2 linked regions of the Lytechinus pictus genome follow. The protein of the gene in region 1 purifies or fractionates together with the protein of each later gene. This does not show direct contact. Links are inferred from orthologs where the notes say so. Each region holds a gene or a part of one and is shown in the gene's direction. Other genes may lie near its edges. The genes, in order: HMG box-containing protein 4-like and chromatin complexes subunit BAP18-like.

Region 1 (16,945 bases):
TGCCAACTTAGCGCGAATAGCCCCACATTTCCATTTAACGTCCATCAATACTGAGATTATCCTTTTCGGTTCGATTGCACCCATTTCTATTATCCTTGCATAATGAAGATTCGATTGGTCAAATCCCCTCTCCAGAACAAAACTATTATGTAAGGGGAGTGAACAATAGGTATATTTCTGGCACCCCGTTGTGGAGTATCTGGAATTAGTTTACGGCACAACTAATCGATGGGCGATGAGATCTTGAACAAATAATGAGGCACAATTCAAAAATACAGACTTTCTTTTTTCTGTCTTCATCTTTATCAATTCTCCACAGACATTCGCTTTCCTTGTTTACGCATTGCATAGGATTCGTTTTATAATGCTCACGGTTTTACCCTCTTGCAACGAAACACAAAGTCATGAAGCCGTCCTCCTGCCCGGTCTCCCCGGCAAATTGTAACTGTGTCATTTGTTTTCATTTTGTTTGCGGTTTCCCTTTCAAATGACAATCTAAGTGTGTTGATTATTAGAAAGACTACATTTTACGAAGAAAATAGATCGATAATATCTGAGTGATTCAAGGATGAACATTCTGCATTATGTCATTGACAACGATATACCCAAAAATATATATTTAACATTCAGAGTGACACTGGGAGAGTGCGAAATTTAAATCAAACTTATTAAAAAGAAATTGTACGATGCCTGATACTTCTTCTACTTGCCGAAGTTGAAATTGAAGTAACGATTAACTAACTGCTAAAAAGTGGGATTAATGAGCCAAATATCTTTAGGGACAAGATATTTCGAGAGGGGCAGATTTTCTAAACGGCTACGAGAAAGCGAAGTGACCCATCAAAAACTTCATCTTTAGATTTAACCCCCCCCCCCAAAAAAAAAAAAGGCACAATAATCAGAAAGCAAGATCAAACTTATAAATTATAATTTGTAAACAAATTTTTGGCATTACTCCTTTATGTTTAAGATCGCATGCTCGATCTATAATGAAAATCATAAGTATAAAAAAAATCAGCAAGAAATTTACCCACATTGTGCTGCATAATTGTTACCCACATTGTGCTGCACTCAACCCAGGTTTATCTATTAGTCCAGTCAATCTAGCCAGAAAAGGGAGGTAACCCACAACTTATTGCAACACTGGATGTTTCCACTGAAATGCTTTCCAGGAAGGTCCCCTAAACAACATACTAAAAGTCCCAAAAAATCCAAGCAGTTGAAATTTATGAACTTTGCATATTATGCAAATTAGCCATAGAAAGTTAGAAAAAGAAGGGAAATAGTCCAAAGATTACAAATTAAGTGTCCAAAACAATTTAATTTAAATGAAAGTTCATGATGAATAAATAAGTTCAGTGTTTTTAGTTTTAAAAAGCTAGCAAATCTGCTTAATTAGCGTATTGTGCAAATAAGTGGAAAATGTCAAATACAATTCTCACATTGATTGCAGTGAAAACATTTCAGTTGTTCAAATTAACATGCTGCTTTCACTAAGCATGATAATTTATCCTAATATAATTTATATATTGAAGGAAAAATACTGGAAATAATTATGTTATTCGCTTCCTAAAGCCATGTTGTTAGTCTGACAAGATGATGGGATTGGAAGACGAGTGAAAAAAATATTAAAATGAGGGGAAGACTTGGAAAATAAAAAAATCGTTCATGTCACTATATACAATTTTCGCTCGTGCTTCGCGCTCGCATTGCCTGTTAGGTGATTTACATAACTTGTTCAATATGGAGCTTAAATATCAAGTTTGGAAGTCAATATACAAAACATATTTCACCTTGGAAATCGAACTTTCATTATTTTGTGTGATTTACAAATTTATTTTTATAAAGTGCTCTGCAAAAATGTCAGTTCTATGGTCTGCATATTAACATTTTCTGCTCGCGCTGCGCGATCGCAAATTTTGATTTTATTATCAGGTACTTATTATTTTCGTGTATTCCATTAAGTGTTCAAAATATCCCTTTTCACGTATCAGCTATAGCGCTGCACGCTCGCATTTTGATTGGCGAGTTATGTATGTGTCAGTATCGATTACACAACAAACTACTTAAAATCCCCTTTTCATGACAGTTAATCGAAAATTTCGGCTCGCAATTTGCACTCGCATTAATTCCGCGCCCTCATTATGCATTAATAAATAAGATATCAATTTAATAATTACATTGTACATTTTGTTTCATCTCGCGCTTAGCAAGAGGAATATATGATGACATGTCCTAAGGATGTCCCGGTCCTATGTCAAAACTCAAAATAATAATAATAAAAAATATCAGCTCTTTATTAAGTGCGATCCATATCAAACCCACAATTTTCCTACAAAGTGCTTAAAATATAGAGCTGAAATTAACCCTTTTTTAGATCGGAATATCAAATATTTTATGCTCGCGCTTCGCGCTGGCTTTGATTTTCATGATAAAAGATGTATTTAGAATGCCTAGATTTTAGGATTAAATTATTTATTTATTTTTTATTTATTTCAAATCTTTATCCAGAGTAGCCTGTTCAGCTTTATACAAACAAATATGTAAAATTACACAATATATACAATTAAAACGTTCATTAAAAATCGCTGGTCTTCCACAGGGCTCTGCATTAATACCTAAAAACATATAATTCATAACATAAAGTAAACATAAGTAAAGAAGACATATATACACATCAAAATAAGATTCAGAATGAGTAAAAGGACATGGTAAGAGAGGGAGAAAGAGAGAGAGAGAGAAAGAAAGGGGGCAGAGGCAAACAGAGAGGGAGGGGGAGGCAGAGAGAGAGAGAGAGAGGGAAGAAAAATGTGTGAGGGAGAGAGGGGGAGATACAGAGAGAGAGTTCAGGAGCAAAGAATATTATGTAATATTTGACATATCAAGCATAATCTATTCTTATGTATATATAGCATAGGATAAAAACTAAATTGAGGAAATGATCATGCATTCATAATAAAACCTAATACATGGGCTGTAAGTATGAGAAGTGATGTCATATTCCTATCTGTGATTGCATTATATTATTTTAGGAGTAATTTAAAGGAAGTTGGTCGATTTTCTAGCCGCGTAGCGTCCGGAAGGTTGTTCCACTTTGTGGCACCTGAATAAAGGAAATAATTTTGATAGAAAGAGGTGGAACATTTTGGGAGTCTCAAATTCATTTTATTTGATCGTCTAGAGTTCCTCATTAGTACGGTGTCTAGACATACAATTATACGTGAAAGTATAAGTGGGGCAAGTTCATGGATTATTTTAAACATTGTGCAGCAGGCAGATTTCCAAAAGAGTTTGTCCAATGTTGGCCAAGATAATTTATTAAATACTTCATTGGACGGGGTTTCCCAAGTTAAGTGTGAAATTAAGTATGCTGCCCTTTTATGTAGGCGATTAAGGATATCGTAATTGGCATCACTTCTCCCTGTCCACAGAGGCGTCGATCCTGGGGGGGGGGGGGGCAGGGGGGGGGGCGATCGCCCCACCAATGAAAATATTGGGGGGGGGACAAACATATCATTTTGCCCCCCCCAATAAAATTCCGGATATGCATTAAAAAAAAACAAGATTGTAATGTTCAGCAAGCGAAATTGAGATACACAACTCGTTCTTTATTTAAAATCGTGCTCAAAATGTCCGCTTTTCAGATTGGAATATAAAAATTTTCAGCTCGCGCTTCGCGCTCGCATCATTTCTGTAGCAAAAACCCATACTTTTCATGATTAAATTGGTGAATGTAAATGTCCCATTTTCAGTTCTAAGCCTCAAAAGAACTGCTTCAATTTGCAATAATCTTTTCTTGGATATATAGCTTGTTCTTTATCAAAAACGTCCAGTAAACTGTCATTTTTTCAGATCGAAATATCAAAATTTTCAGCTCGCGCTTCGCGCTCGCATCTATTCTCTTTTAGATACAAATCTTAATCATTGGTACCAAAAATGCTTAGAATATCAAGTTTTCAGCTCAGAATATAAAGAAATTTGAGCTCACTCTCGGCACTCGTACTATCTGTGTAGTGAGATACGTGTCTGTGTCTCATGAGTCATACATATATATAGATATATACATATATATATATATATATATATATATATATATATATATATATATATATATATATATATGTGTGTGTGTGTGTGTGTGTGTGTATATAATATATATATATATATATGTACGTGTGTGTGTGTGTGTGTGGGTGGGTGTTTTGTACGATCGAGCGCCTTTGGAACGTTAATGATTTCGCCCCCCCCCCCCAATCTGAAAAATGGATCGACGCCCCTGCCTGTCCATACATTACAACAATAGAGATTATGGGGCATTATATACCCCCAGTAAATCTGTGACAATTGCTCAGCGGAGAAGGTAGATCTCAGTCTCCTCAAAATACCCAACTTTTGCTTAACATCTTTTGCAACTTTGTTTGTATGACTTCTAAAGTCTAGGTATGAGTCAATAATGACCCCATGACATTTCTATTCATTTGCACATGCTATGGATTTTCCGTCTATAATAATATCTAAGTTTTTATCTTGCAATGTGCAGATTCTTTGACGTGAACAAAGTAGCATTGTCTTAGTCTTATCGACATTGAGAATAAGCTTGTTTCGAATTAACCATTCATGTGTTTGCTTCATTACTTCATTAAGCTGTGTTTCAATGTCATTTTTAGATGTACCTGATACAGAAATGGTCGTATCATCGGCATACATGAACACAGATCCATTAGGAATACTCTTTGGTAGGTCATTTATAAATAAAACAAACATTAGTGGGCCAAGTACCGACCCTTGGGGAAGACCTATATTAACATCTTTAATTGTGGACTTGTTATTTTCTACAGAAACATATTGTTTGCGAAGAGCAAGATACGAGTGAAACCATTTAAGACTACTTGCACTACAACCATACATTTCTAATTTATCTAAAAGGAGTTCATGGTTCACAGTGTCGAATGCTCGACGTAAATCGAGGAAGATAAGTCCATTCATTTTCTTATTGTCGACGTTACGTGCATCTGCTCGCGCTTTGAGCTCGCATTATTATTGTAGGAAGATCCCCTACTACTCATCCTTTTCATGATTTACAAAACATGAATAGAGTGTCCCGTTCTTAGGTTTAAATCTCGAATTTTTCCGCTCGCGCTCGCATCAATTGTTTAGTTTTATAGCTATCCTATTTACGATTACAAATATTGATTAAAATGTTCCATTCTTTGTGTAGAAATGTCAAAAAATTTCAGCTCGCGCTTCGCGCTCGCAGTATATGATTGTTGAAATATTTAATTTCTTCATGGCCAAATGCAAGCAGTCCTTAACAGGTAGGGCCTTACTTTTCGATCAGTTCAAAACGTATCTAAAAATTTTCTGCTCGCGCTCGCATCATTGATGTAAGGAAGATCCCAATTACTCATCCTTTTCATTATTTACAAAACATGAATAGAGTGTCTCGTTGTTAGGTCTAAATCTCGAAATTGTCGGCTCGCGCTTAGCGCTCGTATCAATTGTTAAGTTATATATCTATTCTATTTAAGTTACAAATAGTGCAAAAAATTACCATTATTTAGGTAAAAGTGTCAAAAATTTTCAGCTCGCGCCTGGCGCTCGCATTATTTGATTGTTGAAATTTGTAACGTCTTCATGGCTAACTGCAAGCAGTAGGTAGGCCTACCTTTTCGATCAGTTAAAAACGTGTATCAAAAATTTCTGCTCGCGCTTCGCGTTTGTAGTAGTATAGTTGCATACACATCTTTTTCAGGATAACAATCATTGCCTAGAATTTCCAAATTTTAGGAAAAAATACATAAAATTACAAAAAAAAATTGCTCGCGATTCGCGCTCGCATTATATAAATAGGAATTGATGATATAAATTTATGTTGATTTATAAGGATAAAGCGAAGAAGTAACTATTACGACTACCCCTTCAAAGAAACAAAAAAAATCATGTTCGAGCGGCCGATCGGGGAAAATATGGCTGAAAAAAATTCGGGCCCCCCCCCCCCCCCTATTGGCGAAGGCTGGATCCGCCCCTGAAGTCAAGAGGAGAGCAAGACTTGGGTAGAAATACGAAGCATTCAAGCAGTGATACCCGTGTAGAACTGACTCATCATTGCACAATATGAGTGGAGTAACTGCCCCGGGGGTAACTGCTCACGAAAAAAAGTCAATATCAACCAAGCAAGAAGTGTAGGGATGGTCATCATGGTTACACATAATCTACATGGAATTTTAGAGGAAAGTATCACGAGTTTTCTTGAATATTTATAACATGCCGGATGCTTATTTGCATAATAAGTAAATCACACTTCAGATATGAAGCTGATTAGTAATGTATTGGGCATTCTTAGTGATCACATCATATTGAAAATAAAAATTTCTGGATTTTTTTCCATATAAGGATGCTCATATATATGCAAATGAGGTAGATTTATTTACGATTTTGTTTAATTGAAAGAATAAATAAATTTGTAAAACTTATCATGAGCTTCCAATCAATTTATTTTGTTTTCTGCACTTGATTTCCAATATTTGGATTATTTTCCTTATTTGCAACTTATTATGGCTAATTTGCATAAAATGCAACTTTTGTGATTTTCCTATGCTTGTCTATTTTAGGACTTTTAATATGGTGTTAAGGAAAATTTCATATAAGGCATTGCCATATTCCAATTTCAATTAATGATCAACTTGCAATTTTTTAGGAATGTATCACCAGTGCGTTTTCTTGAGTATTTATAGCATGTTAGATACTTATTTGCATAATATGCAAATTACACTACAAACACTAAGCTTAATATAAGTAATAGCAGCATGTAAATTTGAACATTAATGACATTTCCAAGCAGTCAATGTGAGAAAAATCACAATATCTTGCGATTTTTTCCATATACAGATGCTTATTTGAATATTATGCAAATGAGGTAGATTTGTTTGTAGGCCTACTTTTGATTAAAAACATTGAATACAGTTTAGTTTTGCTCAAATAAAAATGTTTTTTACACTTAATTTGTAATTTTTGGACTATTTTCCTTATTTTTCTAACTTTTTATGGCTAATTTGCATAATATGCAAATTTCCACAGCTTGGATTTTTGGGGACTTTTAGTATGTTGTTAAGGGGACCTTCCTGGAAAGCATTTCAGTGGAATATCCAGTGTTGCAATTAGTGGTGGGTCAAACCCATAGAGATGTATACTAATTATACATCTCTATGGTCAAACCCTATATTGACTGGACTATATGGCTAAGATGAAATTAAGTTATTTACACTTTCATAAAGTGTCCGATTTTTTTAATTTCGTTATTTTATTTATCTATTTCTATTTTATTCTTTTTTTGGGGGGGGGGGGTGGGATCTGACAGTTCCTTGGATTTTTCCCAGCAGCAGCGCTGCCTGGCCGGCATGCTCGACAGAGGGCGTCCCATTAAACGCGCCGATTTTCGCGTCTACGTCTAGTCTTCGTTCTTCTTGATCTTGCGAAAAAAACTCTCTCTGACTCTGACTGAGTCTGACAGATATTTGGAAACTCAAGAAAATTTAACAAGCATAATGACCTCGTCAATTCTCCACATTAGCGACATTTAGCTCCACATGCAGATATCACAGGTGTAGGTAAGAAAAAAAGGTTGAGTGCGCCGTTAGAGATGAGTTACAAGGGTGTTCAAATGAGCTGTATTGCATGAGTGGATTTCTTGTGTCTTTGCGTTTGCTTGGTCCCATATGCGAGACTTTGTGTTTGTTGTGAAGAGATAGCTTAGATTATAGATAGATCATAGAGCGATCGCGATCTGTGTTTGCGAGCGATTGACAGAATTCAGAAATTAACGTTACTTGTCTTAGATGATATTGATATATTGACATTTTGTTGTTCTTCGGGCCGGGGTTGTTTCCTCGGTGGTATTCTGAAAACGTTCTTAATCTTAATTTCTTATCTTTGTTATCTTTTATCTTATCTCATTCATTCATTGAGATAAGAAGACGCTAAAATCATAGACAGGAAATGGGAATAACCGTCGTTTCTGGGGATTTATTCAACAATTTCTGACATTTTACTGTAATCCCCATTTACCGACGGTAGGGTGTACGTGTGGGCTCGCATGTGTTCTCATTCCCTCCCTTTTGTCAATTCACAGTCCAAAGTTTGATGTAAATAATTTTACACATCAAATTTACAATCTAAGGATGTATAAACAACAAACTTTTAAAACTTGATATTTCAATGTTTAAATACTTTAAACGATATAGATGAAAAAGGCATGCAAAATATACTTTACCGATGTTTAATTGGGTTGAACACGATAAAAATGGTCAAAATGGCAGCCAAACTATAAAATATTTACAAACGAATGTCAACAATCACGAATGTGATATCGATATTGCTTTCGATATTATACGATCTGCTCCATATGCGAACGAAACCGAAGATAAACGATACTAGTTATACTAGTACTAGTACTAGTTATAATCGCGATATATCGATTCGAGACATTAAGTTAATAACGATAATGACGTCATTCAAGATGGCAACTTGCAAGAAAAACCGTCAGGTCAGGTGAAAATGTCTTAGATGACAGATTTCTCAATCATCCAGAGGATTTTTTTCAATAACTCCGGCCCAAGGTATGCAATTACTTAAGTTATTTATATTTCCCTGATAATGGAAACCATGAAACTTTCAATTTTGCTTAAAAAACAGTTTTAAATCGCGATCTATAAAACGCTAGTTCACTATACGTTGGCTGTAGGTACGGGGCCCCATCCCCTTCAGTCTACTAAAATCATTGCAAATAGGTATTCTGAAAATCTTCTTAACGCGTTCTTATCTCTGTAAACATTGGCGGCGGAAGCCAAAAAATTTAGGGGGGGGGACCATAAAAAAAATTAAAAGCCAAAAAAAAAAAAAAAAAGGTAATCAATCAAAATTTTACGGGGGACGCAGGAAACAAAATTGACAAGGAAAAAAAAATGAAAAAGTTTATCAACTACAAAGTACAAATTTAGGGGGGATCGTCCCCCCCACCTCAAATTTAGGGGGGACGTGTCCCCCCCGCTTCTGCCGCCTATGTCTGTAAGGACTGCCTCCTTCTTATACTCAACACGCCCATTTTTAGGATATTACCAATCGTGGGCACTGCGCGTACACTGTTTCTGGCGCATTGCGCGAAATAGGCATTTTATACGCAATGACTGATTATTATTTCGAGACACGTGCACAAAATAAAGAAAAAAAAGAAAGAAAAAAGTGAATAAAGCAGGTACGAATTATAAAGAATAAAACAGGAAAAAAAAGTAAGTAGGTAAGAAAGGAGACAGAAAATGGTCAAAATGAAGCAGAAAAAAAAAAAATGAAAGGAACAAAGCAGAAAATAATGAAAAAGTAAACGAAAAAAAAAATTAAATGAAAATTAAAAAATAAAAGAAAGGAAAAAGAATGAATAAATGAAATAAAAAGGAGGATAAATAGAACTATTATCAATGATAAAGTGAGCAATTAAAAATGAAGGTAAATTTAAAGAAAGAAAATGAAAGAAAGAAACTTAAAGGAAAAAAACCAAAAAGGAAAAAAAAAAGATTAAAAGGATAAAATGAAGGAATAAAGAACCGAAAAAAGAAAACGGAGAAAACGAGTGAAAGAAAGAAAGAGAAAAAGAAGGAATAAAAAAATGTAAAAGGTGAAGGAAGAGATAAAAAAGGAAAATGAAACATAGAGAGAGAGAAATAAAGAAATTAAAGCAAAAAATAAAGACTAAAGAAAGAAATCGAAGGAAATGTTGATTCAAAGAAAGAACGAAAAAGGGAAAATAAAAAGGCAGGAATAATGAAGAATGAATCAAAAAACAAAAAGAAACAAAGAAAAATTAATGGAGAGAATAAAGAAAAAAAGATTTTAAGAAATTAATAGAAGACAGACGGAGAGAAGAAAGAAAGTAAAGAAAGAGTAAATAACGAACGAACGAAAAAAGAATGAGCGAAAATTAATTTTAAAAAAGAAGAAAGAAAGACACGAAAGTGACAGAAAGCAGAAAAAAATTAACAAATGAACGAAAAAGAAAAAAAAATGAACCAAAAAATAAAAGATATTAAAGAAAAATAAGGAAACAAAAATATTTAAAAATTAAGGGAAGGAAGAAAGAAAAAGGAAAAAAGAAAATGATTGAAAAAAATGGGGAAAACAAATATAAAGACGAAAGAATGAATGAAAGAAAGAAAATAAAGGAAGAAAAAAAATTGCAAAAAATAGAGTGAAGGAAGAAAGAAAAAGGGGAAAAAAGAAACAGAAAAAGGGGGAAAAAAAGCAAAAATAAAGACTTGGTAAAGAAAAAAAGAACAGAAAAAAACGAAAAGGGAAAATAAAAAAGGAAGATAGATGAAGAATAAATGAAACAAAGCAAAATAATAATAAGGGAGATATTAAAAAAATTCAAAAGAATAAAGCAAAAGATATAAATGAAGAATGAACGAAAGGAAGAAAAGTGAAAAAAATAAAGAAAAAAAGGATAGAAAAAAGGTCAAAAACAAAATAAAGGGTGGATGAAAGAAAGGGTGGAAAGAATACTTGTTATTACCAGTGGCCATCTATTTTGAGCAAGAAAGAACACGAACATCGTGAGATGTGATAACCCTCTAGCTATCTTAAATATTATCATAAATATCGTGAAAGATAAGAAAGATATACGATAAGAACGTTTTCAGAATACCACTTATCTTTATTTTGTATTATATGCGCGTGTAATAAATTTACGCGCTCAGCATAAGATGGAAAGCAAGATAAGAAAAAGATAAGAACGTTTTCAGAATACCGCCCCAGGTACGGGTCCATGGAGGGGATCGGGTAAGCCAATGAAAAGGTCATCATGGTCATCATTCACAAAGGACATGAAGGAAGTGCATTTGAATTTTTTGATCTACAAAAAAGTTAAGACGATGTCAATGAAGACGGCATGATATTATAAAGTTAATGATTCAACTTCAAAGTCAAACTTGTTAATTTTTTAAAGTTACGAAATGCACATCCCAGCACAGACACAGTCGGTGAGAAGGAAATGCATTAAAAAAGATACATTTAGGTCATCACTCTTAAATGAGGATATTATTGGCTCTTTTTTCTTTGACTTTGGGGTGGAAATTATATGGAAGGGCTGCATCCCCCCCCCCCCTTGGATCGGGCCTGTTGCTGGCAGCAGCAAAATAAATTAAAGAAAAACAGACCTCCTTTTTAGGGGAAACAAAGGAAGGGAAAGAATCCAGACCAGGGGCCTGTTTCTCAACACCATCTGACTTCTTGACTAAACCGTTGTCCGCTAACCATTTCACGAAGCCCTCTTTGCTTTGCCAAGATCAGGTACAACAACCTCACTAAATATTTATGACACCTCCGAACCTGTCATAACTTCTATCTTCATGACATAGTGGCATCACTTGAGTAGACTATGAGATGCAAAAGTGCCCAGAAATTTAAAAATGATAATCTTAAGTAATCAATCACAGAGGTTGAAATTACATCACAAAACAAGTGCATTCAATGATAATTTAATACAAAGAAACTACAAAAACTGGTGGTAAAACGCCACAAAACCATTCATTTTGAAATACTAAAATAATTTAATCAATAAAGATTCCACCATGTCAGGCCATCCATAACTGGACTCGTATTTGTTTTGGATAAATCTCTAATGTGATTTTCTAGTCATGAAATAAATTATTCATAATTTAATTTCATCAGCAATTGAATGCTCCAGTCTTCATGGTCTAAGTATTTTTGATGTATAATTTTTCCTGTGCTATTATTTTGAAAAGATGTATTTCCCAATTCATCACAATATTTGCAATTTTGTCATAATTTTTCTTTTTGAAAATTATGCTATTTTTTTACTAAGGCTACGTCTCGTCTGCTCTTTTTACCGATAGTATCGATATCAAGGTATTCTAGTTAGGAACCCTTTTGTGAAACAGGTTTAGCAAGATTGAAATTAACTCCGTGGTTGGTGGATAAAGATATGACTAACTTGTACAGGTGTTGAGAAATGGGCCCCAGGGGTATAAAATAATTGAAAATATAAAGTAAAAGGAGGTCACAGTGAAAGAAAATCAACTCGTATTTTCTGTGACAGAGATCTCTGTCATGAATTCCTACAGCAAATGACCCTTTTTCAGGTCAGCATATCAGGAAAATTTGGCTCAGAGGGAGGACATTGTATAACAATTGCTCCATTTATTTGAGTTATTTTTTAATTAATGCATGGTTCAACGAACTTCCTGTGTCCCTGGACTATTTTTTTATTTTCTGCATTTCCTGTATTTCTTTACAGACGTGGACAGGATATAAGAAGTTTGAAAGAAGGTGCCTCTTTTCTGACAAGTCTCTGCCTGTTCTCTTGGCACCAGGAACATGGCCAGCAAGAGTAAGAAACGGAAGAGGTCTTTATCCCCTGAACCAGGTCCTCCTCCTATCCAAAAGTTGAAGATTAAACCTATGCCAAAAATTCCTCCAGAAAAGTCCTCCAGCGGAAAGAAATCTGCAAAAAAGCGCAAACAAGATGTCTCACCGATACCTACCACAAGTGTGTCACCAACCGGAGATTGGGGCGAAGATGGAGGACTAAAGATGAAGTTTATTTTATCACCCAAGAAGACAAAAGTTGACGCATCGCCAAGGAGCGATACAACAGATGAGAGGCTCTCTCCTAAAGGGACTGCCAAGGGGAAGAAAAAGGGCAAGCAGATCAAAGCAAAGTTGTTTTTTGAGGATCAGGTGCTTACGCTTGATGGCGAAACAGTGACTCACCAAAATATGATAACACCTGGCAAGAAACGAAAGCAAACTACAAAACAGACTGTAGAAGACACAAAGTCGAGTAAAAAGAAAAAGAAGGAGGTTGACAAGTCCAAAGTCAAAGAAGAGCCTATGATGCCACCTTTTACAAAGGTGCCAAAGAGTGCTGAACGGTCCAAGATTAAATCCATCAAAGTAGAATCTGATAGTGGCTACAGCGATACCCCTCCAGTCTCGGCAAAGTCTAAAAAGCTGAAAGCAAAGCTGCAGACATTAGAGGAACAACCCGTTCCCAGTCCACAAGCTTCGGACGTGTCGAGGGATTCACTTCCCAAGAAGAAGAAAAAGGAAAAGGACAAGAAGAAGAAGAAGATGTTCAAGTTCAAAGGAGATCGTAATCGGTTTCTGAATGTCAGGGGTTCCTCTGATGATGAAGGCGATGATAGTTTCTCAAGGTCAGTCCAGGATGAAGACAGCTTAGGAGGCACGTATGATCTTGAGGATGAATACGATGGCAGCATCAAGAAGACAAAGTCCAAGGAGATGGACAGGATGATGATGCCTCAAATGCCGGTGCCAGATTACAGCTTGGAGAAGCAGGCTGCGGAGAGCTTTTCATCAAGCATCAAATCCAAGTCTAAGAAAGATTATAGGAATGAGGGTGAGCTTCAGTCGTCCCGCGCCGAAGACCTCATCTCCCAGCTTACAGCGTTTGGTTCTGATATGGAGACGATCTATCCAAGTTACATGACGGCTCCGGATGAGGATAAGGAGCTAGAGGATGGAGGTTGGATCAAGAAGAAAAAGAAGAAGAAGAAACTGCTCAAGGAGAAGAAGAAAAAGAAGAAGAAACCAAATCTTTTTGAGAGGGATGAACATGGGAATGTGAAGGTGAGATGTAACTCAGAATAATAGAATAATTTTACTTTACAAATTTGAATAGCATTTTTGGTCATAAGAAAAAAGCTCTCAACTACTACCTTGGTCACATTTGCTCTACGGCGGCCGTACGCCGAGTCGAAAACAGCCATTTTATCCTTTTTTATTCAAACCACCGATATTCAGCAAGTACAAAAATGTTAAAACGGCTGTTTCGACTCGCCGTATGGCCACCGTAGAGCAAATGTGACCGAGGTATAAGTAGTGTACAGTCCTATGTAAAAATATGCTATACAAAATACTTAAGGCATAGCAGTCTTTCAAAAATGTGGAGCAAATTACGATGCGATACAAGGAAAATTATTACCTGGTATAATGTGGTTCTTGTCACCATAAAAAATTACCTTTTATAGAAGAAATTTATTTCCTCAGATTATGGAGGGAAAAATGTAAGAGACAAAAGTTAGTAGACTTTAAGGAATATTCTTTTGTATGACCATTGTTACGTCTGCCCCATTATACAAAGATTTCCTTTGATGTGTCTTGATTTAAGAAATTTTTCTGAGGGTGTACATGTAGATTGCTCTTTTAATTTATCAGGATGCACTGTACTTCAAGTCCAACATCTTCTTATTAGGAATTATATGGAGCTCCTTTGAAGGTTATCAATTAAAAGTGGTAAACTTTGTGAGTGCTAAAAAAACATTCTTCAGGTTTCGTTTGATATTTCTGGGCATCATTTTCGTTGGAAGTTTTTCGTTCTTGCCGATATTATTGTTAGTTAGCACAATCATATTTAAGTATGATGACAACATCCTCGTGGAGACAGCATTTGTGTACATAATGATTCAAGATTATTTATTTGTATTTTTTTGCTTTGAGTCTGTTGGGTGATGTTGGTTACATACTTGTTTTGATTGACATTTGTTAAGGATGGCACTTTTCAGACTGAAGTCTGATTTTAGACTTGGTCAACATATTTTCGGCTCTAGAAAAAATTTTCTTGTAGGAAAAGGTTATTCTAGGTGAATTTCAGATTTTTTGTCAGATCTAAGGGGCATCCCTGATGTGGGAAGTCGTACAATTATTCCACAAGTACATGTAATTCAGATGCGTGACACATCCTTTTATTCATTTTACAGTATGTTATGCGGAAAACCAAACTATCTGGATACATGTTATGGTGCAGAAGCTACAGATCAACATTTGTTTCACAGAACCCCGGACTCGGTAAGAACAGATTTTTTTCCCCCGAAAATGTGTTAAGAGGATTTCAGTAGTGTATGAAGTATATTCTTTCCCCTATTTTTTTCTCCATCTCATCAAGGTATTAAACTAAATGGTTTGACTGACAAAATAATTTATTGCATACATTTACTGCACTTGGTCATGATTTAACATTTTACTTCATAGTTCATACTTATGCATGATTAATACGAAAGGCCAATAAGTTGTTCAATTACAAACCTGCATCGTATTTTATTATAACACCTTTTTAGTAATTTTAGTATCAGTATTTGGAATGTGATAATCTCACCAAATTTTGTGGAACAGAAAAAATGACCAAAACAGCAAAATTGAAACTCTTAAACCTAACTAGGCCGGGCTTTTTTGGCTGTTCTGTGGCCGGGGGGGGGGGGGGGGGGGGGGGGGGGGGTTGATTCAACCCCCCCCCCCTGAGATCTTGGCCGCCGATTGTGCGAGCGCCGCAAAAATTGGCATGCTGGTAGTGTGCGATGTAATCTACAAGGCTGTATGGTAAAATTTTCCAAAATAATGAGATTTTATTTTATATGAATTAATTATGCTAATTTATGCATAAATCATTCTTTTTGCTCTAATTCACTAAATAAAGCTCCTAGAATGCTAATTTTTGGTTAAAATATTCTTTGTAGCATTCTTCACAATGGCAATTGAAAAAAACTTCGGTTTGGAAATCAATTTCCTATGTATTTTATTGTTTTATGAATTTCTTATGTATTTCTCTGTTTTTCAACCTTTTGTTTTTCTTTGTTTTTTTCACCAGATTTATTGCACAACCTTTTTGAAGCATAATTATGCAAAGATCAATTGCTTTCAGCTGTTTAAAGTAAAAATAATCATATCTTTATGAATAAGATGAGAAAACTCAATTTGCATTGACTTTGTACACAAAATCACGTTTTGGAACAATTTTTGGTCTGACATGCACTTACAAAATGTTGCGTAATTTCGGAATCGCGTACCCGTGCATCGTAAATTTGGTCTCAAAAGATGCGTGAGACTTAAAAGTATAAACTCTGCGAGTGGCGCGGTCAAAAAATTTTGCGCGGCGGAATGATCGCAGAAAATGTTGAGGGGGGGGTTGATTCAACCCCCCCGGCCATTTTAGGGTTAAATAGATTTCAAGATGTATTTCGTTTTCATTCTCTATTCGTGTATGCAATGTAGATTTTTCCACCATTAGCCGTCGCATGGGGGCTCTCTGGCAAACGCTGGACGAAGAGGAAAAGAAAGTTTGGCGCAAGAGAGAGATCACTGTTAACACAAGGGTCCCAGTGAAGCGGCTCACCAAGGGCAAGGGCGGGACGACGACGCATCAGGATGTTCCGCCCTTCCGCCTCAAAACACCGGACAAGTCCAGGGCCAAGATTAAGAAGGTTGCCGGTGCCAAGAAGAAGAAGATGGTGTCTAAGAAGAAGGTCAACACTCCGGTGAGGATTACCCCGCCCAAGTGGAGTCCCATTGATTGTGCAGCACACCTGAGGCTGCTCGGGCAGTCACTGAGTGATGTAGGAGGCAAGCTGCAGGTTCACAGGGTGAGTAGCTCATTTATTCTCTATCCTGACACAATGAAGTTCAGCTGGGGTAATTCATATTCTGAATTCAGTGCCATTCGGTCTTAATGAATTTGTGATTATGGATACCAAAATGTGACACAAATCTCTTACAATACAGGATCAGTATATCAGCTCATTTGACGTTCAAACCCTAAAATATCTGGGAATAATAATGGTAATGATGATGTTGATGATGATGATGATGACGATGATGACAATGATGATGATGTTGATGATGATGATGATGATGATGATGATGATACAATCGCCATTACAGCATCAGGAAAGGGCATAGTAAAGATATGAAACATACAATGTAAACAACATTTTGACAGAAATATACTATCGCAAAAATTTTAATTGAACTTGAGAATATTGGCATGTGAGACCATTTTTTGTCAGCCAAGTAGCTTACAGGTTCCATGACATTTGCTCCGGCGACAATTGCTCCGCTATGAATTCCACACATTAATCAAATG
Region 2 (17,510 bases), on another chromosome or scaffold:
TGATATACTGCTCCTCTAAGTCTACATCCCTGCTCAATTGTTTGCACTAAACTAACCAGATTTAAAATTGTAATTAAAAACGTCAACATGTTACAAAGATCAAGTGAGAACAAATTGATACATAAAGTAAAAGAAATAGAAAATTCCACTCATCAATGAAAATATGATTTGTAGCTTTTGACATGTAAAAGAAAGTAACACAGCATCATTACAATGAATCAATACACCAAAGAACAAATCATAAAGCATTTGTCACAAGCATGATACGGACCCAAAATTAATATAATCAACAGTGTTTATAACAAGAACAGAAAATAAAAGCATTTTTACAACAAATCAAACAACCCCAAGAAATATCAAAACGAAGAGATGACAAATTTGCACAAGACAGAAAGCTCAATTCAACATTAAAGAGGAGCTTTGACGATTGAAAAAAAAAAATACACAGCAATATTAATGGTACATTAATAATTCATTAAACAATATGCAATATAGTATAAGAAAGGAACGATTATGTAAGACAAAAATATTCCTAAATGCAATCTCATCATCTTAATGCATACTAATGCAACCATCATAGATCTGTTGATCAAAATTTGGAATGCAATATGCAAAAGTCTATATAAAGTTTATAAAACTTTTTGGTAACAGTCACCTTTTTTAAAATGTTGCATATCCACTAAATGCAATCCAACTCCAATTTTTAAAACTTTTATTTAAATTAGGGTTTGAAAAAAGGTCAAATAGTTAACATAAAGGCTTGCTGTAAAAAGGTTTTAATTTTTTTCAAATTAAAAACAATTTGTTATCATTTCCCATGATTTACGGGATGCACGTCGTAAATCTTTTAAATAAAGGTTTGGCAATCGCCGAGCAAGACAGTGGGGTGATAAGTATATTCAAATTTAGTTCACTATAAATCTGCCACAAATCATTAATGGATTCATTCTTTGGCAACTCAAGTTGAAAGTGATTTCATATATTATAGTTTCTAAAAAAAACAAATACTTATAATCATTTTATTGAGAATATGCAATCTTCAGTATAAAAAATACTACCAAATTCTCCATGGCATCTTAAAAAAGAATAGCAGAACATACACATTGCTATTTACTGCATTAAAGTCTGATCTACTATGGGTGATTTCAAGTTTGGTGTTAACCAATGGCGTTTGTGTTGGGCTTATTTCTGCACCATCCAGAGCCCCAAAACCAAAATGTAGCTGGTGCTAGGACCGACATCATTAGGTGTTGAGCCAATAACAATGTCTTCAATATCATTTCTGTAAACCCACTTTGGTGTTGACCAAGATAGGGCAACCTAATTCACATACTCAATACTAGCACAGCACTAACACAACACTAACACAAAATTTGAAATTACCCACTCTATAAATATTAAGCATATTGGGAAATAATCCTATTGGTCAAGCACCATTCTCTTAAGTAGCCTTCCTGTCGCACGATTACCCTGGAGAAAGTTTTTAGGTAAAAAAATGGAAGTGGCCAATCTTTAGTTTTTGACAGGGTTACTTATGTGATTGACAATGCTTCAACTTTGAAGCAACAAATATTTATTGTGACCCCCCCCCCCTCCTCCCTGCCAGAAGAGATACCACTTGTTGGGAAAAACCTCTAGTTTAACATCTCTCTCTTGTCTAATCTCTGACACATAGCCTGTATCATGGAATGTGAAATTATAACTATGCATGTTAAATTCAATAACTATGTGCAACAAATACAAAATTTCTAAGTGCTGCATACTATTATCCCTGCTTAAGCAAGGCTACCCTGATAAGCCCAAGCATTCAAGGAATCTCCTCCTACCATGTACCCATTTACTACACCTGGGTGGAGAGTGGCAAATGTCGATTAAATGCCTTATTGAAGGACAGGAGTTCTGCAGTGGGATTTGAACCATGAACCTTGTGGTTCAAAGTCCAGAGACCTATCCATTGAGTTTTGGTTAGACAATACTGCTACAGCATACCTATTGTCCATTGTATTGAAAAAAGGTGATGATTTTACCCCCAAGAAAATGGCAGTATTTCCCATATAAATGTGTCATAACCGTGAAGAAAAATATTAAATTGGTATTGAACCAATAGCTAGAACATGGCTTTGTAACATAAATTTTAGTGATTAATCACAATGATGACTGTATTCAAACATGAAAAAAAAAACGATCAGAGTTTATGGAACCTTGTCAAAGTTAAAGCTCCTTTCTAAATTCCTTTGTGCTAAAAATTTCACAAAAACACCCTTTCTTAAGATTTGCTCTTTAAAAGTAATTTCCAAAGATTGGCAAGAACATACCTCTCATTTGCATAATTTGCAAATAGAAACGTTTCAAGTGTGCTTTGATATTATCATGTGAATTCACATGTTTATCAAGCAGAAGGATGTAACTCACCTGTTGGCCATTTTGGGATGTTGACACCAAAATTACATATTTTTGACAGTTTTGGGTGTATTCATTTGCCCCCCCCCCCCTCCCCCTCTTACCCCCCAACAAGCAGAAGGATGTAACTCACCCTTTTGCCATTTCGGGATTTTGACACCAAAATTACATATTTTGGACATTTTTGGGGTGTATTCATTTGTATCATTCTGCTTTTTTCAATTATTCTCTACTGAGGTATTCCTTGGTTGGCATCCCAAAACCAACTCAGCTCAAAGGCAATCAACAAACCTGCTATCCTTTCTATTGGAAAGTAGCGATGATCACGGCACCAAATAACAACTATTTTGCACATTTCAATGAGTATTTCCCTTTGCCCCTGTGGATTTTTTTTCTGCCTGTTGAGCTATCTAAGTAACTACTCTGCTTTCTTCGACTGTTGTCTGCTGAGGTATTCCTTGGTAGCGCCCCAATACCAGACCAGCTGGGAGGCTATCATGGCATTGCAGGACGACGCGACGATGTAGGTCCAGACCAGCATGGGGTCGTTGGTCTCCTGTATGCTGGTGAAGATTCGGGCCAGGCTACCGGCGGTCAGCATGAAGACGGTCACTGCCGAGAGCTGACCGGTGTGGCCGTTGCTGAAGTTTGTATAAGCCTGTATTAACTGTAGAAGAAAGGCAAAGGCACGAGAGGGAAAGGGTGATTGGTTAGCAGCATAATATACTGCTGCTGGGACCACTAAAAAAAGTAATCAAGGAGCCCAGTGCATTGTTATGTAGTCCTGGGACGAATACATTGACAGAAGATTGTTCAAACTAGACTAGCTCAAACAATCACGATTCCTGGATTATCAGAAATCCCCCCAAATTTACCAATTTTCCAGTGGTCACACATTGTGGGGGAGCTGACTCAGTCGAGTGTCCCAGTACAACGCATATGACATGCACATCAAAACAGCTGAATGATGCACGCTCGCCATCGCAGCCATCATTGGCTGAACACAAGAGTTTCATTGACACAATTTTTTGTGAACTGCTTGGAAGTTTCGCCGATATTGCATAGTGTGAACATCCCATGCTTGAGTGAACCCAAATTGCATGGTTTTGTTGTTACTTTTTGAAGCTCTTGCTGAGTTTTTTTCTCTGCAGTCAATCAAATACTTGTGTTGGTTATGGTTGATCATTTTTGACAAGATACACGTACATGTATATATCATTTGAAAGCTTAGGGTGTGCTTTTCCAAACTCAATAAAATTCTAAAAAGTAATTTCGAGCAAATATTGATGATTTTTCTGGGGGCTGGTCCATATAAATCATTTAGAAAAAGCTCACTTACCTTACTAACAATGACGACAGGCATGTTGGTGGCTTGTAGCATGGCGATGGTGCTCATGGGAGCCAGTCCCGACAGAAGGACGTACATGATACCAAGATATGAGAGCAAGAAGGACATAGCTCCGGCCTGGTTTCCATTATAAAACATGCACAAAAATCCTATAGTGACGGTCTGTACAGCTAGAAACAGGGCTTCACCCCATGCTCTGTGAAAGAGAGGAAAGTTCAATCAATACTTTGATATGTTTATTGATCAATAAATATAAAAATTATAATATTTCAATTTTAAATATGATAATTTTATGTATTTATATAAACAGGTCTTCTTGCAATAGTTCTTGGATTGCAAGATGATAATCATGAAAACGATAACCATTAGCAAAGTATGTACAGTATGTAGCCAGACAATAAAACAGGTCATTTGACAATAAGTAAATTGGATCATAATAATTTACAAAAAGGATAACAATTGAGTAGAAGAATAGTAATTGGTTGTTGTCTCACGATGGATCAAACAAAGGATAACAACATTCAATACAGACCTCTTGCTGCTATGCAGGTGAGACAATTTATAAAACAAGCCTTTCGGCAATCGGTAAATTGGATCTCAAGATAATACTTACGAAAAAGGATAACCATTTGCAAAGGAATATGCCCATGATGACGATATCGCTCCAAGCTCTAGTATAACAGAAATTACATTCAAGCCTTCTCCACTTTTAGAAGCCAAAATCTTACCAATCTGTGGTAGTTTCACTGTTGTAAGATAAAAAAAAATAATAATCCATAAATATCTACTACACTCAAAATCATACAATATTTACCAAATATTAAAGGGATGGTCCGGGCTAAAAATATTTATATCTAAATAAACAGTAAAATTCACAAAGAAAAATGGTGAAAAAATCATCAAAATCAGATAACAAATAACAAAGTAATTGAATTTTAAAGTTTAGCAATATTTTGTAAAAACAGTTAAGCACATCATCATGAATATTCATAAGGTGGGTTGATGATGTCATATCCTCACTTTCCTTTTTCTTATGTTATTACACGAAATCAGAATTGTTTAATTTTTCATACATGTGTACATGTAAATGATGTGTCTCCATTATGATGAAATAAGGTGCGGCAATAAATAACTTACGTGCTTAATCAGTTGTAAATTGTTTTAGTTCTTGGTAGAAAAATTTTGAATAAACCTAATTTCATCTAATAAAATACAAAAGAACAAGTTGGGATATGACAATCATCAGCCCACCTAATGAATATTCATACAGACATGCCTAGAACTGTTCCAGCGGAATAATGCAAATCTTTGAAATTCAATAACTTTGTCATTTGTTATCCGATTTGATCAAATTTTCAGCATTTTGCTCTGTGAATGTCTTTTTATTTATTGAGATATAAATATTTCCAGCCTGGACCATCCCTTTACAGACAAATTTGTTAAACAATCTTGTTATGATGAACTTTGAAGGTTTAGATGGTGGGACAGACAATGTGGGAGAAGTTCACCATGTCATTAGTCCTGAAACAGACTGTTTGGGATGGCTGAGTGATAGAGTTGAAAAAGGAAGGTGAGAAAGAGAAGTATCTTTTGTGATATAAGGTGTAGTCCATAGAAGGACTGTAAACCAGTTGAGATGTGATGACTTGGAACAGAAGAGTTGATGGGTTGAGAAGTCTTGGCAGTGGCGAGTAGATAACCTACATGTACATGTACTCATTGCCACTCATCTATTCATGTATAACTTATCGTCAACAAATACAGCGTCAAGTAAGAACTTCAAGCATCACTTCAAAGAAACACAATTTACAAATACAAAATTTTAATTTTGATCAATCCCAAACTGTACTAATACATTCAATATATTAGACATATGATGAGTTCCAAGAGATCTCTGTACATTTTCATGCATGATAAAGATGATTTCTTCCAAACACATATTTTCATCTCTGTACACTTTCATGCGTGAGATTATTTCTGCCAAATACATATATATATATTAAAGTAATGCTCCTGATCTACATGTACATACATAATTGCATATGCACCACAAAATGCCCCTTATAAAAAAAAACAAGAACAAACCCCAAGCAAGTAAAATACCATCATTTTTTACCAAACTTCCTGACATTAAATTTACCTACCCTGCCAGGCTTCATGCTGGTAGGTTAGATGAATGAAAAACATAATACTTTTACATAGTATGATTATTGAGGTTAGCATCTAAGGTATATAAACCCTAAGGGTAGGATATAATGTTAATTTTTTAGGGTCTATCTTTCTTTTCACATTGGGGCAATTTCTGAATTTGGGGAGTATTTGTTTTCATTTGATGGCTACTTGTTAGGGGGTGACAAACAAACAATCATGCAGCAAATCTTTATTCTGCCATAGTTGGAATATTGATTTTCTATAATCATGAATTTTGTTCATGATTGTTTGTGAGAGATCTTGGGGCAACTCTAGAAAGAATGGTGGCCCCAAAGCATAAATTTGGGGGGAATATTAGGGGCAATTTGGGCTGACACAAGGGCAAAGTCACCCGTTGCACTCGTGTATTTCCTCACTGCGAAGGTTATCAAATCTAACTAAAGTGGTCTGGATCGATTATTTAGCATGTTGAACTTCTTCTTCTTCATCTTGAGTTCTTAAATGGTAATCAGTCGCACTATACATAATATTATGAAATATTCTCAATTTCTGTTTATTTCAATCATACTTTTTTATATACAAGAGGGGAGGGGAAGGAGGGTGGGGGAATGGGCAAATAAACAAACAAGTTGTATTTGTGCTAAAATTGTCTGAGGACCCAATTGTTCATGAAAGATTCAATCAGGGTCCTAAGAAGATGACAGGGAAAAAAAGAGAACAGAAGAGATGGCATGAAAAGGGCATGAAATTGACCAACCTCTGATTTCCCACAAAATTCTGTAATCACTCAAAACAAATTATCCATTTACTATCCAGAGAAATCAAATCAAATCAAATATCTTTCAATTTTGTGTCAATTTTTGTTTTCATTTTAAATAAAAAAAAAAATAAAAAAAAAAAATGAAGACCCGATTTACTTACCCATAAGAGATCCAGCAATGATGCCTAATCCTAATACTTTGCTCAAGGCGATTTTTAGGCAGGGAACTGTAAAACATAAATAAACCACTAATTACACATCAAAATGACAATTTGGGGAATTCCAACTTCAACAGACCTTAAACTGCTCCAGTGTACAAATATTGGTGTCTTGATATTCCATTAATAGCAAAGTAGCCTACATTATTTTAAATCAATGTACTGTATAGTCTGAAATTTGAAAAATAATCTTTGAGTAACTACTGCTACATATACACTACACTGTCAGATATTGATAACTTTTGTAAAATAGGACCGAAGTAAAATAAAATGTTTCTTTCAAGGTTCTTATGGTGTCTTATTGTTCACAATTGGGCCTACAGAACAAGGAAAAAAATTGAAAATATCAAAGTAAGAAGGATATACAGCACACTTGCAAAAGATAATTTGAATCTGACAAGACCAAGGTTAAGAAATGTCTTCAGCTGTGATTGATATACTGTAGTGTAGATATGTACTTCGAATATGAAAAATTTAAAGTTTGCAAAGAGTAGACTTATTTATTCATTTTTTATAAATTTTCCATATTATTAAGTAGAAATGCTGTTTATTTTTTGTGCGAGTGCTTATCTAAATTCCAAACTAAAGTCTAAAGTACAACTTCTTCCCCCGTTTTCTTTGCTTACATAACTCAAGACTAAAGTACCAAAATCCAAATCTAAAACTTTGCTTTGTTAGAAAATTGGGCACTAATGCAGTTTCGCACCGGCCGACTCTTTGAGATAATTTCCGCACCAGTAATGCCGTTCCTGATGACGATATTCAGAGAAGTGGTGGGGCGGTGGGCATAATTGACCTTGAACATGTGCTTGAGATTGAGAGACTTGCTGTGACTCAGCCTGTGCGAAACTGCATTAGCGCCCCCCCAAAAAAAGAACTAACAGTAACAAACGTACAGATGGCGCAAATGCACCAGCAAAAATTAAAGTACGTGGGACCATGCTGGAGATAATGGAATGAATAATTGGGTAATTAACTTGAAACTCACCATCTAGGAAGTCGAAGTTTTCAAAGAATGTGATGTAACAATCTTCCGGGAGAAGAAGCATCACGAGCCACGGAAAGAGTCCGGTCCTTTCACCTTCCATCTTTAAATTTGTGTTTTCTAAGTTTTACTACACGACACGTACGAGTCAGTTTAGCTGTCAATCATGCAAGGTGCCTGGTGGTGGTGGGCGTGGCTCTGAAAATAACGGGGGGGGGGGGGGGGATGACTGGTAGTTTCTTAATTTTTCTCGTTTTACACATAGAGATATATACTATACATCTCTATGGTTTTACATAACTATACCAGGGACGTGAGAGGGAGACGTCCCTGATTATACAGGGGCCGCGGAACGGTTTTCAAAGGGGGGGGGGGGGGGGCTAACCATGCAAAAAATCATAATCATACATGGTCATTTTTACGTTTTTGTAGACAGTTTTGTGGTCAAGTCAATCTTGACATGCCATAATGATTGTGGGCATTAACGGGAAAGACAAGACAAGGTTTTTGAAAAAAGTGGGGAGGGGGGGGGGGGCTGAAGCTGAAGCACCCCCAATATTTTCCTTTGGGGTGCTGCGTGTATTATTCTCCATAGGTAGCACTCCCTGGAATTCTGGAAGGTGTGGAAAATTAGGAAGAAATGAAAAAAAAATGACCTACGTTTTATACAGAACCTACTTTTTTTTTTTTTTTTTTTTTTTTTTTTGGGGGGGGGGGGGGGGGGCCTTGTCAAATTTCTTGGGACCAAAATGACCTTCATTTTGTAGTCACCCCCCACTTTTTTTTGCTAGTCAATTTCCATTTTGTAGTGAAAACCTTTTTTTTGTTGCCTGTCAAATTTACATCAGCACTCCCAGTCAAAAAAAATCGTCCACAGGGCCCTGGTAATGAACTAATCAATTACTCCCCCCCCCCCCCGGTGCATCTCAGGCGGATAAGAGTTTTTTTATTATTTTTTTTAAGCGATTTGAAAGCGATACACCTAAATTGTTCGGACTCGAGTTAGTGCAGGGGCCGCGGAAGCGGGGGGGGGGGGGCTTCAGCCCCCACTTTTTCCCAAAACCGTGTAAATGACAATATGATTGTGATTTTTTGCATGCTCAGCCCCCCCCCCCCCACTTTGAAAACCGTTCCGCGGCCCCTGTTAAGTGGCCTATATGTACAGTATCCCTAGTTACCTCTCTAAGAATTATAACATAATTATGAATATATTACTTGAGTTTTCGTGCATTTCATTCCCGCGAACTGAACCCATTCCTAAAAATAAACCCTATTCTCCGAAAAACTCGGAACCGGCGCACGCCATTTAATTTACAGGGGAGGGAGGGTTGGATCCTATTATGAAGATTACATTTAAATGTCTTGTTTTCACGGATGATGTATGAAAATATTTTTTTGTGCTTCGCACTTTCATGAATCTATTTTGTATACATAATATCAGTGTTCTTAAGGCGGGAAAAGGCATATTGACATTGTCCCCTTTTCAGTGTGAAAATAAAAACAATATCAAAATCAGCTGAATCTCTACAAAATGATAGCCATGTTAATATATAGGACTATAATTTCATAGAGATTCAATAAGGGGGAGGGGCGTAGAAATATTTTCAGGCACAGTTTTCCAGATCGGCCGTTACAAAGCTCATTTGTGTTGTTTTGAGGCAGTAGTCCTTCCAAATACTAATTAACGGGCTTATTTTTACAAACAAGCTAAGGAAGATCTATATTAATTCATAAGACGAAAAAATGCGACCGCGAAGCCGTGATCTATTATGGGGTCAGGATGGATATCCAATAGACCAGTTCGTAGAACTTACTCATGGACAATTTGGTCAAATGACCTATCATTTCTTTCATTATGATAGGAAGATTTCAAAGCAAGATATTACGTAAGCTTGCCTTACATAGCAGGATGAAGAAATTGAATAGACCAGGTGACTAGAATAGCACACCAATGGACACTTTATGAAGGTATTTGTTGCATTCCTACTTTGAATGCATATCATATAGCACATGTTGCACAATGTACTTGGCAAACTGTGAAATACCATGCAGTCGTTCGTGGACGCATCGTTGTTTTTTGTGGATGTAAATGAAAACCACAATTCAAAAGAATATATGAATAATCAAGACATCAAAGTTGGTGCTTATCTCATTAGATTTTAAACCACCATGTCACATTAGTACAAATGACCTTCCTCTGATCATGCGTAGAATCTTTTGATCATGCACAGAAAGGAACTACGAACTGGCTCATTAAACAACATTACTGATGCGAGAGCAAATCGTGAGCTGAAATTTTGTGATATTCCGACCCCGCCAAAACTGGACATAAACACTTTTTTTGTAACCATGCGTGAATAGGAGGTATAGTCATGTCTATCTGCGAGCGCGCAAAGCGAATTCTGACCTAAAACTTGCACATTTCTAAGCACTTCTGGTAAACATGAACAGGATATGGGCATCTAACTATGCGTGAGCCGAAAAATTGATATTTTGACCTAAAATTTGGTTATTCTTATAAAAGCACTGTTTGTAATCATGAACAAGATGCGATCTAACCAAACAATTTATTCGATATTGCAAATACCAGAATTGAAAATATTTGATATACTGACATAAAAAGGAAATTTCCAAGGACTGTTCTGGAATTCATTAAGAGAATATGCCTATACCTATCATACAATGCGAGCGTGTAGCGCAAGCGGATTTTTTTTAAACATACATCCTGTTCATGGCCCGACGGGATGTAGTCTCTCGCTGAAACACAATTAATGAAAACTCGAATTCTGAGCAGAAGAATTTGTTCATATTGACTTCAAAACGGGATATTTTAATCTCCATATTCTTGAGAAGATTATTATTATCTCCCTCAACCGACAATGCTCCCGCGAAGCGCGAGCAAAATTTTTATCTTATTATCTATATGACCTGGAAGTTTGTCTAATTTTTTCACCATCCCTTATTTCATTCACTTTTATCGATAATCCTCTTTTACTCTCTCTCTCTCTTTAATCACTCATTCACACTCCTCTTTTCTCTTTTTTATTCCGCCGCCGATGGGAGGGGAGGGGGACCCCGACCCTTTGAATCCCCACCCTCAGAAATCCGTGCCCCCATCTGGATTCGCGCCTCTGCAGAAGTTGTCAGGATATTGGCCGCCAACTTCATCATAAATGAATATTCATGAGTCAATGACGTCACTAGCTGAGGACGGTGCGTCAACTCGATTCGAGTCGAACTAGAAAAGCAAAATAGTGAACTTACGAAACTATTTCACTCATATTTGAGGCTTTTCAGTAGGAAAGATGAGTTCAGCAGGGAAGGTAAGATATAATTTTCCCTACTTATTTGGTTATCAATTGAAAAGGTTACGATAGAGAGAGAAGAAAGGGCGATAATTACAGACCGAACTGTGTGGCGGAGACGCATTTTGCATTGTCTGTGTGTTTCTTATTGATAAAAAAGGGACGGCATATACGGTCACTCCAACGTAAATTGGTACGTGTGGGGCTGGATAGACAGTCTAGAAAAAGTATCACCAGAATTAGGATGTGTAAAGTTACAGTGCTGGACCAGGGCACTGGACTGGACAGCAGCAGAGGGCAGAGTGTGTTACTGTTACTGTTAGTCGAGATGTGGGCAAGAATATAATGATTAATGAGTAGGCCTAAAGAGTTACTTTAGACAGCTGGCACTGCCACTGCCACTGGCAGCAGCCGTCCGGCGTCTGTTTTGAGGGACAAGGAGTTTTTATAATTAAAGTTAAACAAACATTTTTTTTTTTTTTTTTCTCCTCGTACACTGTACACAGACGGCCCGCGATCGTGCAGCTGTCATTAACAATGCAAAATACCCCCTAATTTTTGTCTTTATTTCATAAAATTAGAAATATAGGAGTTAGGACCTATAATTAAAAAGAACTGACCAAAATAAAGATTATTAATCATTCCGTTTTGGCCTGAAATGCACCAAGACGGGAAAAAAACAAATTTAAAAGGAAAAAAAAAACAGTGACTTACTTCGGCTGTCGCGCAACTCCCATTTCCCTGGTTTATCCGAACTTAAAATACATAAACATATGGCCATTGATTGAGTCCCTGTACAGATCGAGTTAGAACTTCGGTCTCTGTAAAAGTGTAATTGGTGAGTGGACCCAGCGGAACAACCAATAACAGAGACCAAAGCTTTTTGTCTAGGCTTCCATTTGGAATAGCTCTATTTCCACTACTGTCTGGATGTTGTCAGAATCGTCTTCACTGTAGTCTAGAAAGATAGGTCCAACTGAATTAAACTATCAAAATTTGTGCATAGATGTGCCCGCTTAGCCCCAAATTTGTATGAATTTTGATCAAGAGCCGTAAAGCAAGGCTCCACATTAACTTTTTTTGGTGGTGGCCCATTCGGGCCACCAAAACCATCAAATAATTTTTTTTGGTGGCCCGATATTAAAGTTTGGTGGCCCGAAAAATATAAAGAAACACATTAAAAATTAATAAAACAAACTTCTGAAATATTAATTCTGCAGCCACTACCACTAAGTAACTTTCACTTTATCATCTTGTATGTAAACCTTGTTTGCTGTTTTTGCTAATTGGCTTGTGGTAAAATATAAATTGTTTCTATCGTTGTAAAAATTAGAACAATGCATAAAAGGGGGAAACAAATTAAAATAATTTTCATAAAGTATATTACAAAAAGAAAACAAAAATAATAAAAGAAATAAGTGAAATAAAACGAAAGAAAGAAAATGAAGAAAGGAAAAACAAAGAACAGGGAAAAAAAAGAAAAGAAAATTTAGAGAAAAAAAAGTGAAAGAAAAATGAATAAAACAATATTAATATAAACATGGGGAAAAGGGGAAAATTAAGAAGCCATTACGAATATTTTTTAACAGCTGTGGCAACAGTCTATTCTGACTGGAATATAATTAAAAGCCAAGCAAATAATTTCACTTACCTTCTGGAAATGGCACATTTCTATTTTTATATCCTTTAGTTTGTATTATTTTATTTTCAGTAGAAACATATTTTTTAATCAGGTATATTCAATAGGAAGGGGTATAAATGGTTTAACCAAGTGCTGTAAAAAAATGAAAGAAAAAAAATAAGAAGAAAACGGCAATAGTTATATCTGGAAAAAAAGTGTGAGAAAAGTCCTTCCCTATATTTGCCAAAATGTTGAAAAAATTCACATTTCATATCAATGAAATGCCTTCCCAAAGTATCTCAAGAGTGGTTTAAGAAGTCATTTATAAACAAGAAAGAAAGAAACTGTCTGTTTATTTTTGGCTAGAAAAGACACACCTTCGAAAGAAACCAAGTATCAACATACATACAAATGCACATGTGGGACTGTGATGTACATGCCTATGTGTTTTTATGTGTATTAATTCATTTGGAAATCGGTCTTTTGTAGTCAAAAGAGAGGTCATAATTCCTCTTCTTAATGCTTGCAAATAATCAGGGTACACCAAATTTTCGTAATATAGACTGTAGAATGTCATTTCATTGGTGTAAAATGTGACTTTGACTCAGATTTTCAAAGTTCTGTGGAAGATTTCTAAGGCAAGCAGCAACATTTTTTATCGCAGCTCCCAGAGTGTGAATAGGCTGAGCTAGATCTAGAGCACAGAGCTCTGTATGCAGTGGCTTCATGCAAAGCTCACGCCAGCCGGCCGTTGCGGCTGGCTGGATAATAGCTACTGTATGCTATAACTGTAGGCCTAATATGCAAACTGTGTGTGTGTATTTGTGTGTAGATCAACAAAAAGGGCGCATGACGAACTGGGTTGCAATTTGAACTGTAAAAAGTTGATAAATGCGTGCAAAATCGGGAGAAAAATTGCGCTACTTTTGAAAATTATTGGTTGCCCGATTCGGGCCACCAAAACTTAACATTTTATCAATAATGGTTGCCCGATGTGAATTTCTGGTGGCCCCGGGCCACCGGGCCACCGCTAATGTCGAGCCTTGCGTAAAGCCATGTAGTTAGAGATACCTTTGACGACTAAATAAAAAAAAACTGTTCTACTAAACAATTTGATGATGTTTTTCATGATATAAAAATCATTTTGTTTGAATGTTTTTTTTGCAGGTAGGGGAGATTTTCTCGGCGGCTGGTTCAGCGTTCACTCAGCTTGGTGAACTGACGATGCAGTTGTATCCTACTAGCGATCAAACCCCTGTCAGGTATGTGAGAAGGGGGGGGGCAGGGTGTATTTTTTTGTGTGTGTGGGATCTGCGAGTGTGTGTGTTTTCTCTATTTTCTGTATTATATTATTTTCTTTCAGTTCTCTCTTTGGAAAAATTAATGGATCAATCAAATCGATTTATGAATTAATGTTTATTAATTACAAGGTACTTATGAAGTCAGTTTATGTTTGTATTCACTGGAAGAAGCAATAAAAGAATAGGCCTACTTAAAGAAACCCATAACCCTACAAAACAAATTCAGCAGACTTTTATTTTTTTTTATCCATATATTTTAAGACCTGTATGTATCTGTATCTGTCAGGGCATATCATAGTTATCAATATTTATTATTTGTGTATCCTTTGAATTGAATTTGATAGTGGCAAGTGGACAGATGAGGAGGTTGAGATGCTGAAGAATGCTATCAAACAGTTTGGGGATGACCTTCACAAGATCAGTGAAACCATCAAGACAAGAACTGTGTAAGTATTACTTCATTTCATTTCAATTTCCATTTCATTTCCATTTCTATTTCATTTCGATTTACGTTTCTATTTCATTTCGATTTATGTTTTCATTTCATTTTCAATTCATTTTCATTTTTACATGTATTTCCATTTCTATTTTTATTTTATTTCCATTTCATTTTTAATTCATTTTCATTTTTACATGTATTTCCATTTTATTTCCATTTCTATTTCCATTTCAATTTCCATGTTTTCATTTTATTTCCATTTCATTTTCAATTCATTTTCCATTTTACATGTATTTCCATTTCATTTCCTTTCCCAATTTCATTTCCAATTCTATTTCCATTTCTATCTCCATTTCATTTCCAGTTCTATCATTCTATAAATCAATCAATGCAATGAGATTACCCTTTGGGTACAGTTAATGCAGAATCACTGAAAACATGATCAATAATCCCACAGCAGCACCCATATCCCTTTTGCAAGACATTTAGCTATATTTTCCACTTAGAATTCATGTGTATTTTATGGGTACCTGGTAAGGAAGGAATTCCTTGAATGCTCAAGCACCTGATCATAGCAGGGGTAAAAGTATACAGCAATTAGAAATTTCAAATTGCAGGTTATTAAATTTTGCATATTATCATCATCATCATTGTGACCATTATCATTATCATCATTATCACATCATTTTCACCAACATTCTAATGTCTTTACCATTATGACAGTTTTCATCACTATCACCATATCATCATCGGCATTATCACCATCATCATAAATATCTTCAACATCATCATCATCACCACTACCATCACCATTATCTCCATTTTCACCACCATCATCATAACCATTATCACAGTCATCGTCGTTACCATATCACCATCATTACCACCACGATCATTATCATCACCATCATCATCATCATCACCACCATCATCATCACCACCACCACCATTATCTCCATTTTCACTGCCATCATCATCATTACTATTATCACAGTCATCGTCGCCACCGTCATCATCATGATCGCCACCATCATCATCAGCCTTCACTGTCTTCACTCTGATCATCATCACCATTACCGGTATATTCTTTTCTTTTTCTTCCTCTGTTGTAGATCTCAGATCAGGGCAGCCATTAAGAGGAAATCCCTTGATGCCAACACGAGGAAGGAGAGAGTGGACAGGGGTCACGTAGAGCCGTCTACCGGCCTCACATTGATGGCCAGCCATGCTCCAGCACGCTCCTCGCCGACTACACCACCTGCTAAGAGGATAAAACATGGTAAATTAAAAAAAAAACTTGTTCGTTGGTAATCCCACCTGGTCTGCTGGAGACTTTGTTGGACTTTGATCAAACATTGATCTCTCGATCGCATAATGATATTTTTTGCTTAAGGTTAAATGTTTTAAGGTGGTTAGAGGTTAGCCTCAACAATTCGTGCAATATTTTCGCCGTGCAAAATTTTTTGACTGCGCCGCTCGCTGACTTTTTACTTTTAAGTCTTGCGCACCTTTTGAGACTAAATTTGCGAGGACTGGGTACGCGGTTCCGAAATTACGCAACATTTTGTAAGTGCATGTCAGACCAAAAATTGCTATAAAACATGATTTCGTGTACAAAGTCAATGCAAATTGGGTTTTCAACTCATAATCATAATTGTATGATTATTTTTAGTTTTGCTGGTCTAAATGGATTTATTTTATGCTGTTTATGATCTCAAAAGAGTCCCCGACAAAGTTCATTGAAAAAGCAATAAAAAACAAAAGGTCCAAGAAACAAAGAAATACATAAGAAATTGCAAAAAACAATATAATACATAAGACATTATTCTGATATCGCAATTTTTTTCATGTTCATTTGCTGAGAACACCACAAAGAGTTTCTACAATAAAAATTGGAACATTTGGAGCTTTATTTAGGAAATAAGAGGAAAAAGTATGATTTTGCATACTAATTACGCATAAATTAGCATAATTAATAGATAATGATTTGCATGAAATAAATTGATACAGGATTTTGTAGATTATGTTCCAGGCAAGCTGCGTGTCAATTTTCGGCGCGATCGTGCGATCGACGGCCGAGATCTCCTGGAAGGCCCCCCCCCCCCCCCCCCCCCCCCGGCCATATGATCTCCCAAAATACCCCGGCCTAGATAGGGTTAATTGAGGGAAATTGTCATAAACATTGTTTAGGGGGGAAAATTATCAAAACAGCATGCGAAAATACTTGAATAGGGTATAAATTTGATTAATGGATAAAACTTGTTTAGTGTGGATTTGTAAATTCTATAACGGAGTGCCCCCCCCCCCCCCCCTGAAAGTAGGCAGGGGGGTTGTAGACTGCTCATCTTTAAGTCACCCACAATTTATTAGTTCAACCGTTTATTAGTAGTATGGGGACTTCATTTTGTTAATTAAAGCAAACCGTTGATTTTTCAAATGAATTGCAATTTAGCATTATTAATTAGTTGGGGGATTTTCAGCCAATTTTTGTAGATTATGCCATCGGAAACAGGCATGCTGATTTTTGTCACATTTGCTTGGTCAACTGCTGAGATCTTAACCTTTAATCATCCCCCCCCCCCTCATTTTCATGGTCTAAATAATCCAGTCTTTTTAGGGTTGAATTTCCCTGCTACATATTGATATTACAAAATTGTTACTTTTTAGGTTTTGAATGACATGCATTGTTAAAGTCTTCACTTTTGCAACATATAGAGAAATTGATTTTGTGGTGTACCGTGGAGTTCAAATGCTAGACATGTTTATGGGTTTTTTTTGTCCAGAATCATCCGAGCCTGGGAACGATTCCCTGGTTGACATTGAAGGTCTTGAAGATGGTTCCTCGATATCACCGTCGAAGAGATTGGAATATGAAGGAATAGAGCCTGCCGCAGGAAGTAAGTCTTCAAGCTTTTCAGTGCTGTGCTATTTTTCTATACTTTCAATTTTTTCCTAGATAGTGTTTTTGTGGCTTTGTATTAG

The links.
Region 2: the proteins of HMG box-containing protein 4-like (region 1) and chromatin complexes subunit BAP18-like purify together in Homo sapiens (affinity purification with mass spectrometry; 4 studies listed by BioGRID and IntAct, with this or other methods). This does not show direct contact. The link is inferred for Lytechinus pictus from reciprocal best matches to the Homo sapiens genes HMGXB4 and BACC1.

The regions. Positions count from the first base shown.
Region 1 is NC_087255.1:16,421,445-16,438,389, forward strand, and holds the start of HMG box-containing protein 4-like, read left to right. Parts: upstream 1-7,443; 5' UTR 7,444-7,607; intron 7,608-12,304; 5' UTR 12,305-12,384; coding exon 12,385-13,659; intron 13,660-14,789; coding exon 14,790-14,877; intron 14,878-16,077; coding exon 16,078-16,445; intron 16,446-16,945. UniProt on the Homo sapiens protein: Negatively regulates Wnt/beta-catenin signaling during development.
Region 2 is NC_087260.1:10,834,752-10,852,261, forward strand, and holds the start of chromatin complexes subunit BAP18-like, read left to right. Parts: upstream 1-11,047; 5' UTR 11,048-11,167; coding exon 11,168-11,185; intron 11,186-13,955; coding exon 13,956-14,050; intron 14,051-14,433; coding exon 14,434-14,535; intron 14,536-15,640; coding exon 15,641-15,807; intron 15,808-17,311; coding exon 17,312-17,425; intron 17,426-17,510. Other genes in the region: mannose-P-dolichol utilization defect 1 protein-like, read right to left, coding at 2,819-3,067, 3,740-3,944, 4,362-4,494, 6,821-6,886, 7,866-7,965. UniProt on the Homo sapiens protein: Component of chromatin complexes such as the MLL1/MLL and NURF complexes.